2 linked regions of the Notamacropus eugenii genome follow. Each later gene encodes a partner of the first gene's protein in a complex. Links are inferred from orthologs where the notes say so. Each region holds a gene or a part of one and is shown on either strand. Other genes may lie near its edges.

Region 1 (7,433 bases):
CATGTATCATTCATTCATTAAATGCTACTCTGTTCTATACTTTGTATGTATCATACTTTCCTATTTCATTAGTTACCACTGAGGCAACCAGGATTATATTTGGAAGAATCTCATCTTTTTATGACGCTTGCTGCCCAGCTTAGTCTTCTGCACATAGAAAACCCTCAATAAATATCTGCTGTGTAAATGAACAAACTCTCAATTTCAAGTCACTGATTTTTTCTTCAGTCAATGTGGCATAGTAGAAAGAGTTCTGGACTTGGATTTGAGAGACCTTATTTTAATCATAGGACCATAGCATTAGAGGTTTAGAGTTTGGAAAAATCATCAAAAAGCAATCCTTTTATTTTAAGGAGGAGGAAACTGAGGACCAGTGAAGATAAAGGACTTAATTAAAGTTACACAAATTATCAGTGGCAGAGTCAAGATTTGGACCTAGGTCCTGTGATTCCATGTTCAGCACTCTATGTTATGTCATATCACTCTGACATATAAACTCTCAGACTAATCTTCTATGACTTTGAGCCAATCGTGCAACCTCTCTCAACCTTAGTTTCTTCATCATTAAAATGTAGATAAGTATCCACACCACAGATTTCACAGGGTTGTAAGACTCAAATGAGAACATATGGAAAGTACTTTGTCTATCATAAAGCATTGTACAGATGTCTGCTATTGTTATTTTGTTCATTACAGACAGAATCAACTTGGACTTAGCTAGCGCTAAAGCAAGTTTAGGTACATGTGGGTAGCCTTGCTCTTTAGGTTGACCCTGGACATTTTGGGGGGAGCCCTACCCATTAGGCTGACCTTGGAATATTTGGAGGAGCCCTACCCATTATGTTGACCTTATAGGCTTCATAGTAAAGATATTGTTGAGCTATAAATGAGAGAATTTGTGAAAAAAATTTAAATATATTTGGAGGACCAAAATTTAGAATTATATTCATAATGATTATGTTTTAATATTATACATTTAATATTAGTATCATATATTTAATATAACATATCAACATAATATATAGATAGGATATATAATATATAATTGTAAATTATATAAAATAACTTTATAATATATAACAATAAAATACACTAAAATATATAATATATTTATACTATTATATAAATATATAATATATACATAATATTTATATTACATAGTAATGTTTAATATAATAGATCCGCTGGCTGACAATAAATAACCAGGGGTGTGTAGTTGCAGGTTAACACCAATTCTAATGCTAATTCTATGTTTAAAAACCCAACTGAGTCATGAATTTCACTGTGTCTCTGAGAATAACATAACAAAGGTGGGGGAGTGGCAATGCATACAACTCCTTTATCTCCTTTTATGAGCTAAAGTGACATACTTTTTCTACAAACCGACAATCTCCACCCCTGACTACCTAGAGATTACATTGGTAAGCATATTTTTAAAAAATTGAACTATGCTGGAAGCATATTGAGTTACATCCCTTTCTATCACAGTTTGTGTTATAATACTGAAAACTCTTGTAGGAAAACCTTTTTCTTATAAGAAAACCTCTTTTTCTCCCCACTAGAAAACGATGTCATTTTGTCCTCATCATTCCAGGAGCGGGGGATGGTGTAGAGATTCTTAATCCTTTGGAGCTCATAATATCATCCTTCTCAATCTTAAATACCATCTTCATGAAAACAACTTCTTCTAGCCTTTCTTAAATCGTAATAAAAGAGATTTAGTTTATGTTGGATTCCCCTGGGTTAAACAGAGAAAGCTTAATGAAGCTTTGATAAAGTTTTCCAATAAAAAAAAAAATCACGACTGAGAAATTACAATAAGCTTTTTTTATTTGTATGAACAGATGATTTATACTCACCCCCAAATCTAATCTTAAATGGGTGCCCGTTTATTAGAAAGTGACTTAAAAAACTGATATATAAATCGAACTATACAGTAGCTATATTATATGACATTGTATTATATAATAATATGATACATTATTATGTTTGTATAATATAGTAATTGTGTTGTATACCTATTGTATAATAAGCATTTAGCATATATTAATTGAATAAAAAGTGACATATTCAAACATCTCACTTGTACAAATGGTTTTTCATATGAAGATTTCAGAGAAGTATGGAAAGACTCTTATGTGCTGATTCAGAGTGAAATAAGTGTCTACCTACATTCTAGTATGATTGAAAAACTACATGATCGAAAAGACCACTAAAACGAAAATAATGATGATCCCAAGGAATGGGACCTCCTTGACTCCTCTGACCTGAAAGTCAGGAAACTGCAGAGATAGAATGCTCATGCATTGTCAAAAAGTCCCAATATTGATTTTTTTTTGTTATAAGGAATGAGTTAATTGGGGAAGGAGAATATATACTCAAATTAATGTAATAAAAGTATGGGTAGTTTGTTGTCACAGTGGATAGAGTATAGGACCTGGAGGCTGGAAGACCTGAGTTCAAGTCTGCCATTAGATACTTACTAACTATGTGACCCTCAGCAAGTCACTTATACTGCCTAGTTTCCCCATCTATAAAATTAGTACAATAATAGCCCCTATCTCCCAGAGTTGCTGTGAGGATCAATGACATAATATTTGTGAAGCACTTAGTATAATACTTACACATAGTAGGTGCTGTATAAATATGAGTTGTCATTATTGCTCTTGTTTTATAAAGATAAAGCTTTTTTTAAAGCAATGAAGAGTCAGAAATACCACTTACCTTGGTTGATTTCTAAAATATCTTTCCTTTGCTCACTGGCATCTGCATCCAGGGGGAAAGAAGACATTATTACTATTGTCAATGAAAAGAGACAGCAAAGAAGCATTATCTGAACATTAAGAAAAAACTTACCATTTTCTTGGGAGAAGGGTTTGATCTGCAAAGAAATACACATATAATGGATAATATGCACAAAGGAAGAAATGGTTCTCAACAGCAGAGGAGAATGGAAAGCCACTCACCGATAGGGAAGCAGCAAAGGCAAACAGCAAGGTGAAGGTTAGGCTCCAGGTGGCCCTGGTGGAAAGCATTGCGGCAAGTGAAACAATTTTCCTGGGAGTGCCTTGTAATAAATGTCTCCTGACCTTTACCCTGGCTATCTGTTTCTGAACTTTGACCCTCCTCTCCATACCTACTGTAGGAATTTTTCAAAAATATGTTAGACTAACTAAATTAGTTCATTACTAAGTCTTTAAATAGTCTTTGTTCAGTGGGGAACCTGGGATGGAATTTACTTTTCATCCAAAAAGCTAAAGAATGAGAAAGTTAGTGGCACAGCAGTCACTCTGTTTTCTACAAAAACTGAGCACTAGAATTCCCAGTGGGCTTTTCCCTCAGGAGAGGCATATTTTGGGGATACAAAGTCAGGTGATATGGAAAAGGGGAATCTTTACTTATGTTGTACACTTTTTATCCTTAGATTAGGTGTTCTTTACCTGAAGTTGATGAACTTGTTTGTTTGTTTTTAACATTTTGTTAACTATGTTTTGGCACAATTGTTTTCTTTTTTAATCCTACATATTTTAGTTACCACATTTAAAAAAAAACGTTTTTCTGACAAGTGATCTGTGGGCTTCACCAGATTGTTAAGGTGCCAGGCATAGGGAACCTGCAGCCTCCAGGACATATGTGGCCCTTTGAATCTAAACTTTAGGTCTTCTCTGTGTGGCCTCAAGACTTCAGGTTCCCCACTCCTGACCAAAAGGGTCTGTGACACAAACCTCTGCCTTATTTTTTTGAAGGTTTATTTAATATGCCTGTTATGTACAGGATTCCCAGTAAAATTCTCTTTCCCTCTCCTTTACTGACTCTCAACATCTGAGATAGCTGTAACAAATGACACAAGTAAACTTCAGTCTTACTGTCTTGAATTATCAGCAAGATATTGACCCCATCGCAACTGCAAAGGACCATTGGGTTCTAGGAGCAGCTCACTCAAAGCAGCTCCCTGGGTCTCTGCCTTGTCACCGAGCTCCCTTTCCCACTCTGGACATTCAGGACTAGGGGCATACTAATCAAGTCTCTTCTCCAGCATGTTGCCTTGTGATTCCTTTGAGTCATCAGTCAATGAAGCCACTTGCTAAAATACCCTGAAGAAATTGAATTATACCTGATGATACTCTGGTAAGCTTTTTTATGGCTTTTTTTTTTTTTAAAAAACTATGCTCTTTTTAAATAAAAAAGCCATGCTAAGTACGCTCCCCACTCCCCCAAAGATGTGTCCAAGATAACTATTCTGTCACCTAATTATAAAGGAACTTAGAGGATACCTAGCCCAACCTAATTTTATAGACCAGGGCCATAATGAAGTGACCTATCCAAAATCACATAAGTAGTAAATGGCAAAACCAATTTCAAACCGACGTCTTCTGACTTCATATCCAGCATCCTTTCCAATATGCCATGATATACCATATTGCACCTTCTTCCTAACTTCCTTATTTCAGATTCGAGTATCAAGATCTTTTCAGTTACCAGGGTTTACAATACCAGAGACATTGTCTATTCTTACCTCTCTTTCAAATCTGTATTTAATAAGCCACCAAATCTGACCCATTCTAACATAACATCTTATGTCCATCCTTTCTCTCTACTCACAGAACTACCACCCTAGTCCTGGTCTTCATCACCTTACTCCTGAACTATTGAAATAGCTTCCTAACTGCTATTCTGACTTCAAATTTCTCCTATATCCAATCCACCCTTTACACAGCTACCAGACTGGTATTGATAAAGCCAAGGTCTTATCATGTCACTCCTGTGCTCAGGAAATTTCAGTGGCCACCTTTCACTTCTAGGTAAAATACAAACTCCTCTGTTTCTCAGAACCCCAACCCAGCCTACTCATATGTATGGAAACATATATTTTATGTAATTATATGAACATATGCATATGTATATATGTGTGCATGTATATGCACATGCATGTATGCACATGTGTATAAGTATTGTATTGAATCTGTATCTTGCATCTGTGTATGTTTATGTGTGTACGTTGTATGTTATTCATACACATGTGTACATGTATGCGTGTGCATGTATGTATGTAGTAATCATTCTTCTTCAGCCACTCCATGGTTCAGGTAAACTGACCTGCCTACTATTCCTCCATCATGCTGCCTTCCTGGTGCTTCTCACTCATAAGACTCAGTTGCAATGACTTTGTGCTGGCTAGCCCCCATATCTAGAATGCAGCCCCTCCCCTTCCACCTCAACCCCTTGAATCATGTTTCCTTCAGGAATCAGCTCAAGTGCCACCATTTACATCAATCAATCAATAAACATGTATTAAGTACCTACTATGTGTCAGGAACTTCTACCTGAAGCCCTTCCTGATCCTCACAGTAGCTAATGCCTCCCACTCTCCCCCCAAATTTTCTTTTTTTTTTTTTCTTTTTGGTATATGTTGTTTTCTCTCAATCAAAGGTAAGTTTCTTAAGGGGAAGGACTGAGTTTTTTTGGGGGGGTTGTCTTTATATTTCCTGTGCCAATTATAGAGTTTTACACAAAATAAATGGATACTAAATACTAGTTGTGTTACTGAATAGATGAATAGATGAAAGGTGGAAGGTCCCTTATTGCATTTCTCCTCTCTCTCTTTTCTTTTGCTACTATCCCCCCTCCAGACTTTTGCCTACCCTCAAGCACTTTGACCATTTTGATGACTGGTAATTATTGTTCGGAAATAAAACATTTTAATGAGTTCTCTGTACTCCATAACTAGTGTAGAGAAGGACAAGGAACATTAGATAGCTATCTAATTGACTCTTTTGGATAAACATATCCTCTGCTGAAGGGGTGGAGAATGGGTGTAGACTCATTTAGAGGCACGTGAATATAGGTCTTTTCCTATAGAATCTCAGTTATAAAAGACCCTTTTTGTTTTATGGCTTTGATTATAGCTATTACTTAGTTAGCTGATGTTTGCATTTTTAACCTAGTTGGATCTCAAAGGTTCCAGTGTGAACAGGGAAGGTCTGGAAACTTTGACTCTTCCTTGTGAAGATTTTGTGGTTTAGAGATGATAATGCTTTAGTCACTTTCATGGGCTCATCTGACTTTTTTAAAATAAGTTTTTATTAATGCATTTTTTATTTTACCATAATCTCCCCCCTGTACCTCTCTTCCTCCTCTTTCTAGTCACCCCATACAACAAATTGCACTTTAAAAAGTAGAAAAACCAACATAACTGATTGGATATTGAACAACACTCTAAAAATGTGTAACATATGTGCACCTTTCACCTTTGTATAATGAACTGGAGAAGGAAATGGCAAACCATTCCAATATCTTTGCCCAGAAAACCCTCAATGGGGCCATGAAGAGTTGGCCACAACTGAAACAACTGTACAACAAACACCTTTGCAAAAGGGTGAGATGGTGACTTCTCTGTTTTTGAGCCATGAGTGCTCTTTTTAATTTTGCAACATTGATTTTTGATTTTTTTGTATGTAGTTCTTTCCATTTATATCCTTGTCATCACTGTGTTTAATGTTTTCTTTCCTCTGCTTACTTCACTGTGTATCAGTTCATGGAGATCTTTTCGTGATTTTCTATATTCATTACATACATAGTTTCTTGTTGTTGTTGTTGTTGTGTTAGTCCTTCATTGCCAAAGAAGACCATCCCATCAGAGAAATGGTGACATGACTTGCATTTGACTTTGTTTTGAGTGAGTGAGGGCTGTGCAAGGTCGCACAGGAATATTATATTACATTCATATACCAGTATTTGTTTAGCCATTCTCAAAATTGGTGGACATCTCCTTTGATTCCATTTCTTAACTATCATAGAAAGTACTGCTATTTATTTTTCATTTATATTTTATATTTTCAGTTCTTTTATTTTTTCTTTTATATTTTATTTTTTTCTTTCTTTTTTCTTTCTTATTTTATCTTATTTATTTCTTTTATATTTTATATTTTCAGTTCGTTTATATTTTCAGTTCTTAACTGTCACAAAAAATACTGCTATAAATATTTTGGAGTATATAGGACTTTCTTCTTATTGGAGGCTTTCTTGGGACAATAGAGTCTCTGATTCAAAGGATATGGACAACTTGCTTGAGCAAACTAGGAGGTATAGTGGATAGAGTGTAAAAATAAGGGTCAGAAGACCTGAGTGTGAATCCTACTTCAGACATCTATTAGTTGTGACCATAAGTCACTTAATTTCTATTTGCTTCAATTTCCTTTTTTTTTTTTGTTAAAACAAAGAAGTTGAATTTGATGACCTTGAAGATTCATTCCAGCTCTAAAGTCATGATCTTATGATGTCATTATATTATAAACTCATCAGTTGTAGACTTACTCATGAATTGGATTTAAGTGAGGCAGAGTTATGCTAAGTCATCAGCTTTGTTCTCCTTCCTGAGTCATTGAAGTCCAAAGGCAAAACAGAAGTCAAGATAATTGGCGATGGCCCAGGAT
Region 2 (7,621 bases), on another chromosome or scaffold:
TGTAGGGGTGACACAAGTCATTTTTGGAGGGAGCTATTCTAAAAGGGAAGGGGGTAGGAGGGAGATTTTAGGCACATAAAGTACCCACATATGAGTTTAGGGTCAGAGTCAGAAGGAGAGTCAGAGATGGAATTGGAGTCAAAATTAGGGTTAGGTTTAGAGAAAGATGGAATATTATGGGGGAGATGTTTCCAGAAGACCTGGCTGGTTGGAAGAGTCCATGAAGGGGACTAAGGTGTATAAGGTATGGCAAGGTAGACTAGATTCAGTCTGTGAAGAGATTTAGTATTTGCATTTGATCCAAGAAACAACATGGAGCCACCACAGCTTCTTGAGTGAGGAAGTGCTTTAGTCTGATTTGGGCTTTAAGAATATCGCTTTATCAGCTGGTCAGGTAGGTGGAAGGTGGGATTGAGACGAGACTGGAGGACAAGGGTGAAGTGAGAGCCCACAAGGGATTGAACTTTAGCGAGCTGTCTGTGAATAGGGATAGAGTACAAGACCCTAGAATCAGAGGAGGAAAGCTGCTCACAGGTTACCTAGCTCCCCTCTCCATTTTGGAGGAGGATGCTGAGGCTTAGAAGTGAAGTGACTTGCTCAATATCACCCAAATGATCTTGGCAGAACTAAGATTTTTATAAGACTTGGGGACTGATAGTAGAGGAAAGGGGGGAGTTGGAGAGGAAGAAGGAAGAGTTGAGGATGTCCCCAAGGGACCTAGACCTCACTGGAAAGTCCCAACCTACTTAAGTGTTGAAAGTCCAGGCCATGCTTGGGTGTCCAGGACCTTTCAGCATTCATGGTGTGGACATGCCAAATCAATCAAGTTCTCTAGAAGCACATGACTGCTCTACAACCTGGCCATGCTCTTGGTCCAATTCGACTTTGGGGGCATATGTGGTCACCAATAGGGAATGGAACAACCTCCACGAATGGACCATGGACTTGCTAAATTATGCTGGAGACCCAGAGAAGCCTTCATGTTCACTAGCCTTTGGCTGTCTGAGTCCAGAAAGTCTTGCCTGGGCAGGATCAAAGCTGAGTGGGTGTCTATTGGTTTTTCTCAGAGAGTTAGTGAATAACAACTCATTTGCGTGATAACTTAGCTTGAGAACATCAAACATGCCAAATGGACTAACCAGAATCAGTGTATGGAGGAGAGTTGCCTCTGGACTGGGTGTCAGGTGGCTTGCCCATCATGACCTGTGTGACCCTGGGCAAGTCACTGCCCTTTCTGGGCTTCCTCTAAGATCCCTTCTAGAGGGTAGGTGAGGTAGGGGAGGAGGAAGGGGAGAAAAAGAACAAAGTAAAAAGCACACAGCAGAGAACAAAAGCAAACTTACAGGGAAGCAAAGATGGAAAGTGCTGAGCACAATGTGTAGTATTCATTGTATAGGCTTTCTTGAAGTGAAAATTTATTGCTGTATATTTTGAATACTCTCATGTCCTGCTGTGCACGTGGCATGATTTTTCCTTTTTCTTATTTTGTATTTAATTAAATATTTAAGTTTATAACCTGTTCCTTTTTTCTTTCTCCTTGTGTATTTGAGCTTTTGTATTTATGTTTAATGATTGAAAAAAAAGATCCCCTTCTAGGGCTATGGCTGGGTTCTGGTAACAGGGAATGTTCTGGGGCTATGGCTGGGTTCTGGTAACAGGGAATGTTCTGGGGCTATGGCTGCACCACAGTTTGATCTGATCGCTTGCTCCCATAGCAGAAACTGGCCCTCCCAATCACAACCAATGGTTTTCCCTTAAATCAGTCATGACCTCTCCCCTTGGCTACTGCATTAGCCTCCTCACTGACCTCCCTGCCTCCAGTCTCACCCTTTTCCAATCCCTCTTCCATGTGGCTGCCAAATTAATAACTAATTTCCTAAAATAAAGTTCCATCCTGTCACATTTCTGCTCAAAAAGGTCTAGGTTAAAGCAACAAGGAGTTCCCTAGCTTCCAGCCCTTTCTCGCTGGCTTTCTCTCTCCAACTCCAACACCTTCTGCCTCTGTTACCATGACAGAACAGGCCATCTCCTTCTCCAAAGACTTCCTGGCTGGTGGTATCACTGCTCTCTCCAAGATTGCAGTGGCCCCCACTGAGAGAGTTAGGCTAGTATAGCACGTGCAGCATGTAAGTAAAAAAATTGCTGCTGATTAGCAGTACAAAGGCAGCCTGAATTCCAAATGAACAAGAAGTGCTTTCCTTCTGGCAGGGTAACAGCAAATGTCATCAGACATTTCCCCACCCAAGCACTTAACTTCGCCTTTAAAGCTAAAGTAAGTATTTGGGGGAGAAGTGGACAAGCACACACAATTCAGGAGGTATTTTGCTGGCAATCTTGCCTCTGGTGGTGTGGCTGGAGCCACTTCTCTCTGAGTTGTCTACCCCTTGGATTTTTCAAGAATGTGTTTGGCCGCTGATGTTGGGAAATCTGGCACTGACAGAGAATTCAAGGCCTGGGAGATTGCCTTGTGAAAATCACCAAGTCTGATGGAATTCATGACTTGTCTCAAGGTTTCAATGTCTCATGCAGTGTATCGTTATCCATAGAGAAGCTTATTTTGGAATTTACGATACATCGAAAGGTATGCTCCCAGATCAGAAGAGCAGTCATTGTGGTAAGCCGGATGATTGTGCAAGCAGTGATCACTGAAGCAGGTGTGGTCTCCTATCCCTTTGATACAGTAAGACTTTGAATGACTGTGCAGTCTGGGCACAAAGGAGATGATATTTACACTGGGACAATTGACTGCTGGAAGAAGATTGCTAAAGATGAAGGTGGCAAAACTTTCTTCAAGGGTGCCTGGTCCAATGTTCTTAGAGGCATGGGTAGAGCTTTTGTGCTTGTCCTGTATGATGAATTAAAGAAAGTCATCTAAGTACATCCTAACTAAAAAAAGGAACCAGTGAATATAGATATTGTAGACTACTTAACCATACTTAGCATTTTGGACCATTGACCTTCAAGAAATTCCTCTTGTCTTTTTCTCCAGGTGGATCATGTTTGTCAGGGAGCCAGGAAGAGCTCTTAGAAAAGGGGGCTCATTGACTGTGATCCGTCATTCACACAGTGAAATGGATGATGGTTCAGTATACTGATTCCATTGGTTTTGGGGAAAATAGCAGTTACTGTGGGCCAAGGACACAGATCAACTTAGATCATTTAGTTTAAATGCTCTTTTGATGACCATAAATTTGTGTTCAAATATTTTAAAAAATCATGACCCTCCCCCCATTTGGATTTAAGCCTTATATACATGATCTTGCCCAGATGTGGCAGTTACCTGTGACAGTCATTCTGCTGTCAAACAATAAATACACAGAAGACTAAAAAATAAAGGTCCCTATCCCCTCCAGGATAAAAGCCAGACTCTTCCTTTAGTATTTCAAGCTCTTCTATTCTGACTTCAAGCTATTTTCAGACTGAATACACATAATCCCCTACATACAAGCTGGTTTTTAGCCAAATTGGCATTTGGCTAGGCACTGAGTATACAAAACCAAAAAGATAGTCCCTCACTTAGGTCTGTACTGTCATTGGGAAGACAAAATATATAGGGGAGTGATTGCCAGGAGGATAGGAGAGTCACAGGGCAATCTATAGGCATCATATGCCCTTTGCAGGAGTAGTAGCATGGATTTGATTACCGTACCAGGAACAAGAGGTGGAAAGTGGAAGAATGCTTGTGGAGGCATGGCAGCAAGATGGCCAGAGAACATAGTGGGCTGGAGGGCCCATCAGTGTGATGGAATGTAGTGTGGTGGACTTAGTAGGGATTCTGGGACCTGAAGGACCCAGATTAAGGGCTAGAAAGCCTGCTGGTATTCACAGGAGGGTAGAGCATGGTATCATGGCAAGGACATAGCGGGAGAGGCTTAGAATAATCCTGTTGAGTGGATGAATTAAAATGATGACGATGATGGACCAGATCTATGATTGCATTGGCATAGGAAACCTCCAACCCCCAGGGAGAAAGAAAGAAGGAAATCAGTAGATTTTGGCAGTATGGGTGAGTGGGGGCCCACTTTAATTATGGCCAGAATTTCTGCTTTACAGAATGAGTTTTCCTGTGACCTTTGAACCTGGGTGCAGTCAGGACAGTGGAGGATACAGAGTAGGGTATGACCCCTTGAATTAGGGGACAAAGTTAGAATATGTCACTCTTTGATAATAAGAAACACTAATAAAACTAAGAAGACACTAGTCAGTCAGTGAATTAATATTTATTAAACACCTACTATGTGCACTAGTAAATATAATCACATCACCCTCTTATAATAAGATGCTAATAGTTATCATTACAAGAACATATCGCCCTTTGATGATAACAGGACACGCATTAAAGGATATGGGGGGTGGGGTGGGAGATAGAGGACACCATGAGAGAGCCAGACTCTCATGAGTTCATTGCCAAGAACTTGGATCAGATGGCTTGCTTTGACTTCTTGGGTAATCATTTTGGAAATGGTTGGGAAAACAAAGCTGATTAATCAGTGATCTGGATGGGAGAATGGTCAGAAATATGAGGTACAAACACTCTGCCCTCCCCCTACCTTTTTAAGGCATGTGTCATTTATTGATTCAGTTATCACCTGTAGGTTTCAGGGTGACATGATCGTGGCAGCAGCCAGTCAGTTCAGCCTGGATTCTGGGGTATAAAAGGACTTAGAGGGAAACAGCCATCTGTCTTAGCCTCCCAGTCTGGAAGAATGATCAGATTCTCTCTCCTCCTGGGCCTCTTGGCCCTGGTGCCCAGCTGCTGGAGTACTTCAATCCCTGTTCCTCCTCTCCTCTTGTCCCCCAGCTGCAATGACTCTCAAGTCCTGTCCATGGCAGACTTGGCTCTACAAGGCATCAATGAAGACCGGAAGGAAGGTTACATGTTCAGCCTCAATCGTGTGGCTGACGTCCGTGAACATCATCAGGTAAATAACACTGTTCTTTGGTGGTGGCAGTGGTGGGGACATCCTCACACATTCTGTGTTCCAGTCACACTGACTCGCCTCTCTTCTCTGAATTGGCCATGGATCTCCCACCTCTATGATTTTGCACAGGCTGCCTCACTTGCCTGCCATGAACTCCCTCCTCAGCACAGCCTCTTGAAATCCTTGGCTTTCTTCAAGGCTCAGTTCAGCTGTCGCCTTCAGTACATAGTAATCCTTTGAGGATCCCTGAACTGATTAGTCCTGCCTCCTTTTGCTGTTGTCAGTGGTCCAGGCTTGTGATTTCATTGGTGTGAGGGATTCTCTGGGTAGGAACCTCCCTTCATGCATACAGATCAGCAAATTCTAGTCTTAGGAAGTCTCCTAGAGACACTGAGACTTGAGGTGACTTGCCCAGGATAACACAGCCAAAAGATGACTCGATCCCAGGTCATCCTGGCCATTCAGGTCATTAGTTGTCACTCCCATCCCTACACCAAGCTGCTTTGGAGCTGATGCTCATTTGTCCGCTTCCATGTTGTGTCTCAAGTAGAAGGTAAGTTTCTTAAGGGCAGAGTGTGTCACTCCTGCAATGATAATTTACAGCACCTAGTTTGATATCACTCACACAGTAGGCTTTTTAACTGAATTGGTCTGTCTGGGACTCATTGCTCCCATAGGGGAAAATGAAGAGCAGTGAGCAGAAAACTTCAAGGCAGATTTCAGCTGGCTGTGATTAGTGATCCAGAGGTGGAGTGAGATCCTGAGGAGGTAGGAAGTCCCTTTTACTGGAAGGGCTCCAGAAAGGACTGAAAGAGCAATCATTGGGATGTCCCAGAGGGCATCCTTGTTCAGGTACACAATAGAGTCAATGGCAGCTCTGAAGCGTCAGATTCCTCTGGGGCAGGGTCTGGCCCTAGCTGGGTGTTTCAACATTGCAACAGACACTCTGTGAAGTGGATTCCAGTTATTGAACCCTCCTGAAGAGAGATGGGAGAAGCCTTATAAGTGAGCTCACTTAGCTATCCAATGACCAGCATCAAATTAGCTTCCAAATTTTTGTAGCCCAGTGTAAAGGGGGGGGGGGATAAGATTTGTTTTGCCCTGTAGATTCATCTGTAAGCATTCCTTAATCACTTTCAATGAGCCAGACACTGGAAATACAAAGATAAAATTGAAACAGTGCCTGTCCTTAAAGAACTTATATTCCAATGGAAGGAAACACCACATACATACAAAAAATAGAGACAGAATGACTACAAGGTAATGGGTGGGGGAGAATTAGAGACTGGTGGAAAGGGACTGCAGAAGTGGAGGGGGGAAATCAAGAAGCCTTGGTATATAAGGTGTTGCTTGAGCTGAGTTTTGAAGAAAACTAGTTAACCTAAGAGATGAATATAGAATCACCAATTATTTGATAACATACTTCCTAAGGTAAAGGGTTGACCTTTTCCCCTCTTGCCCCATTTACCCTCTCCCCTGCTTTTCTCCTCCTCCCCTGTCCTACCCAGCCAAGCCAGAAAAGTGTCAAGGACAGAGCTGGTATAGACTCTATGTCTACCTGAGAGCCAACATAAGGAATAAATGATACGAACCAACATGTATCAGGTGCATATTATGTGCCAGGCACTGTGGAGCTTATATTCTGGGAATGAATTGGGTGATGCTCCTTCCCAGCTTGGCCCCAGGTTGATGGATATTTGGTCAGATGACTACAGCTCTCAAAGATCATCTACTAAGTTATAGAGTGGTTATGAACTATGCCAGTGGAGGGGGGAATGCCTGAAGATCAAATCAGGAATGCTTGAGGGAGATGGAGAATTAATTTTGGTCCATCTGCTCCAACTTAGACCTGTCCAGGCAGCCCTTCTGCAGTGTCCCCCACAAGTGATTCTCTGCCTGAAGAATACAAAGCAGGGAGGATGGCAGCAGAGAATAGATCCAGAGAGAGGGAGAAACCAATGCCTATGAAGAAAACTCAGTCTGCTCCTGGGAAGCTCTTATCATGAAATTTTTCCTGACACAAAGTCAAATGGAATTTTCCTCAACCTGCACCCATTGCTCTCAGTTCTGCCCTCTGAGGCCAAGCAGAATAAGTCAAATCCCTTTTTATGTGACAGATCTTCAGATACTTGGAGACTCTTATCATCATCATTCTGAGTCTTTTCTTATCTAGGATAAACATCTCCAGTTCCATTACTCAGAGAATGTTGATATCTGGCCTGCATAGGTTCTGATGAAAAATTGAGACTTTATGTGACCCCCCCAGGGAGTGCATGTATCTGAATCCAGCATAAAAGAAGGGAGATCCACACTTTGGTTATGAAGTGAAAATAAATCCCCAATTCAGTGGGATTCCTTTATAATTCTGATGCTGGAGGCTAAAGCCCAGCCATGTATCATTGGGGTCTGGTAAGGACATAGAGTATCTTTCACGGTTTCTGCTTTCATGGTCTATGGGAGCTCACCACTGCAGATGGTCAGATGGTCTGCTTTTTGCAAATTCCTTACTATTCATTCAACAAACATTTATTAAGCACCAACTCTGTGCAAAGAACCACATTAGATACAGATTAGAAACAAAAAGGCACAGTCTCTGCCCTCATGGGATTTCCAATCTAAGTTGGAGGAGGAAAATTATATGTACTCAAAGAAACAGAATACAAAGCAAAGAATAATGGGAGCCAAGAAAGATCCAGAGG

What was found. The genes of interacting proteins can lie anywhere in the genome.
Region 2: the proteins of MEP1A (region 1) and FETUB are in contact, whole or in part, in a cryo-EM structure (PDB 7UAI), measured with the Homo sapiens proteins. The link is inferred for Notamacropus eugenii from reciprocal best matches to the Homo sapiens genes MEP1A and FETUB. Residues at the interface, in NP_005579.2 of Homo sapiens: Asp126, Gly127, Cys128, Trp129, Ser130, Glu131, Val132, Gln145, Gly146, Cys147, Tyr149, Ile152, His155, Glu156, His159, Tyr164, His165, Gln167, Ser168, Leu184, Gly186, Tyr187, His189, Asn190, Asp192, Tyr194, Tyr214, Gln215, Phe217, Ser218; in NP_001362516.1 of Homo sapiens: Phe109, Phe110, Lys144, Lys145, Tyr148, Met149, Thr150, Cys151, Pro152, Asp153, Cys154, Pro155, Ser156, Ser157, Ile158, Ser196, Ser197, Gln198, Trp199, Val200, Val201, Gly202, Tyr205, Phe206, Thr242, His245, Trp246, Phe249, Val250, Ser251.

The regions. Positions count from the first base shown.
Region 1 is NC_092873.1:111,180,707-111,188,139, reverse strand, and holds the start of MEP1A (meprin A subunit alpha), read right to left. Parts: upstream 3,036-7,433; coding exon 2,967-3,035; intron 2,882-2,966; coding exon 2,857-2,881; intron 2,767-2,856; coding exon 2,725-2,766; intron 1-2,724.
Region 2 is NC_092877.1:377,028,872-377,036,492, reverse strand, and holds the start of FETUB (fetuin-B), read left to right. Parts: upstream 1-4,591; 5' UTR 4,592-4,706; coding exon 4,707-4,922; intron 4,923-7,621. UniProt on the Homo sapiens protein: Protease inhibitor required for egg fertilization.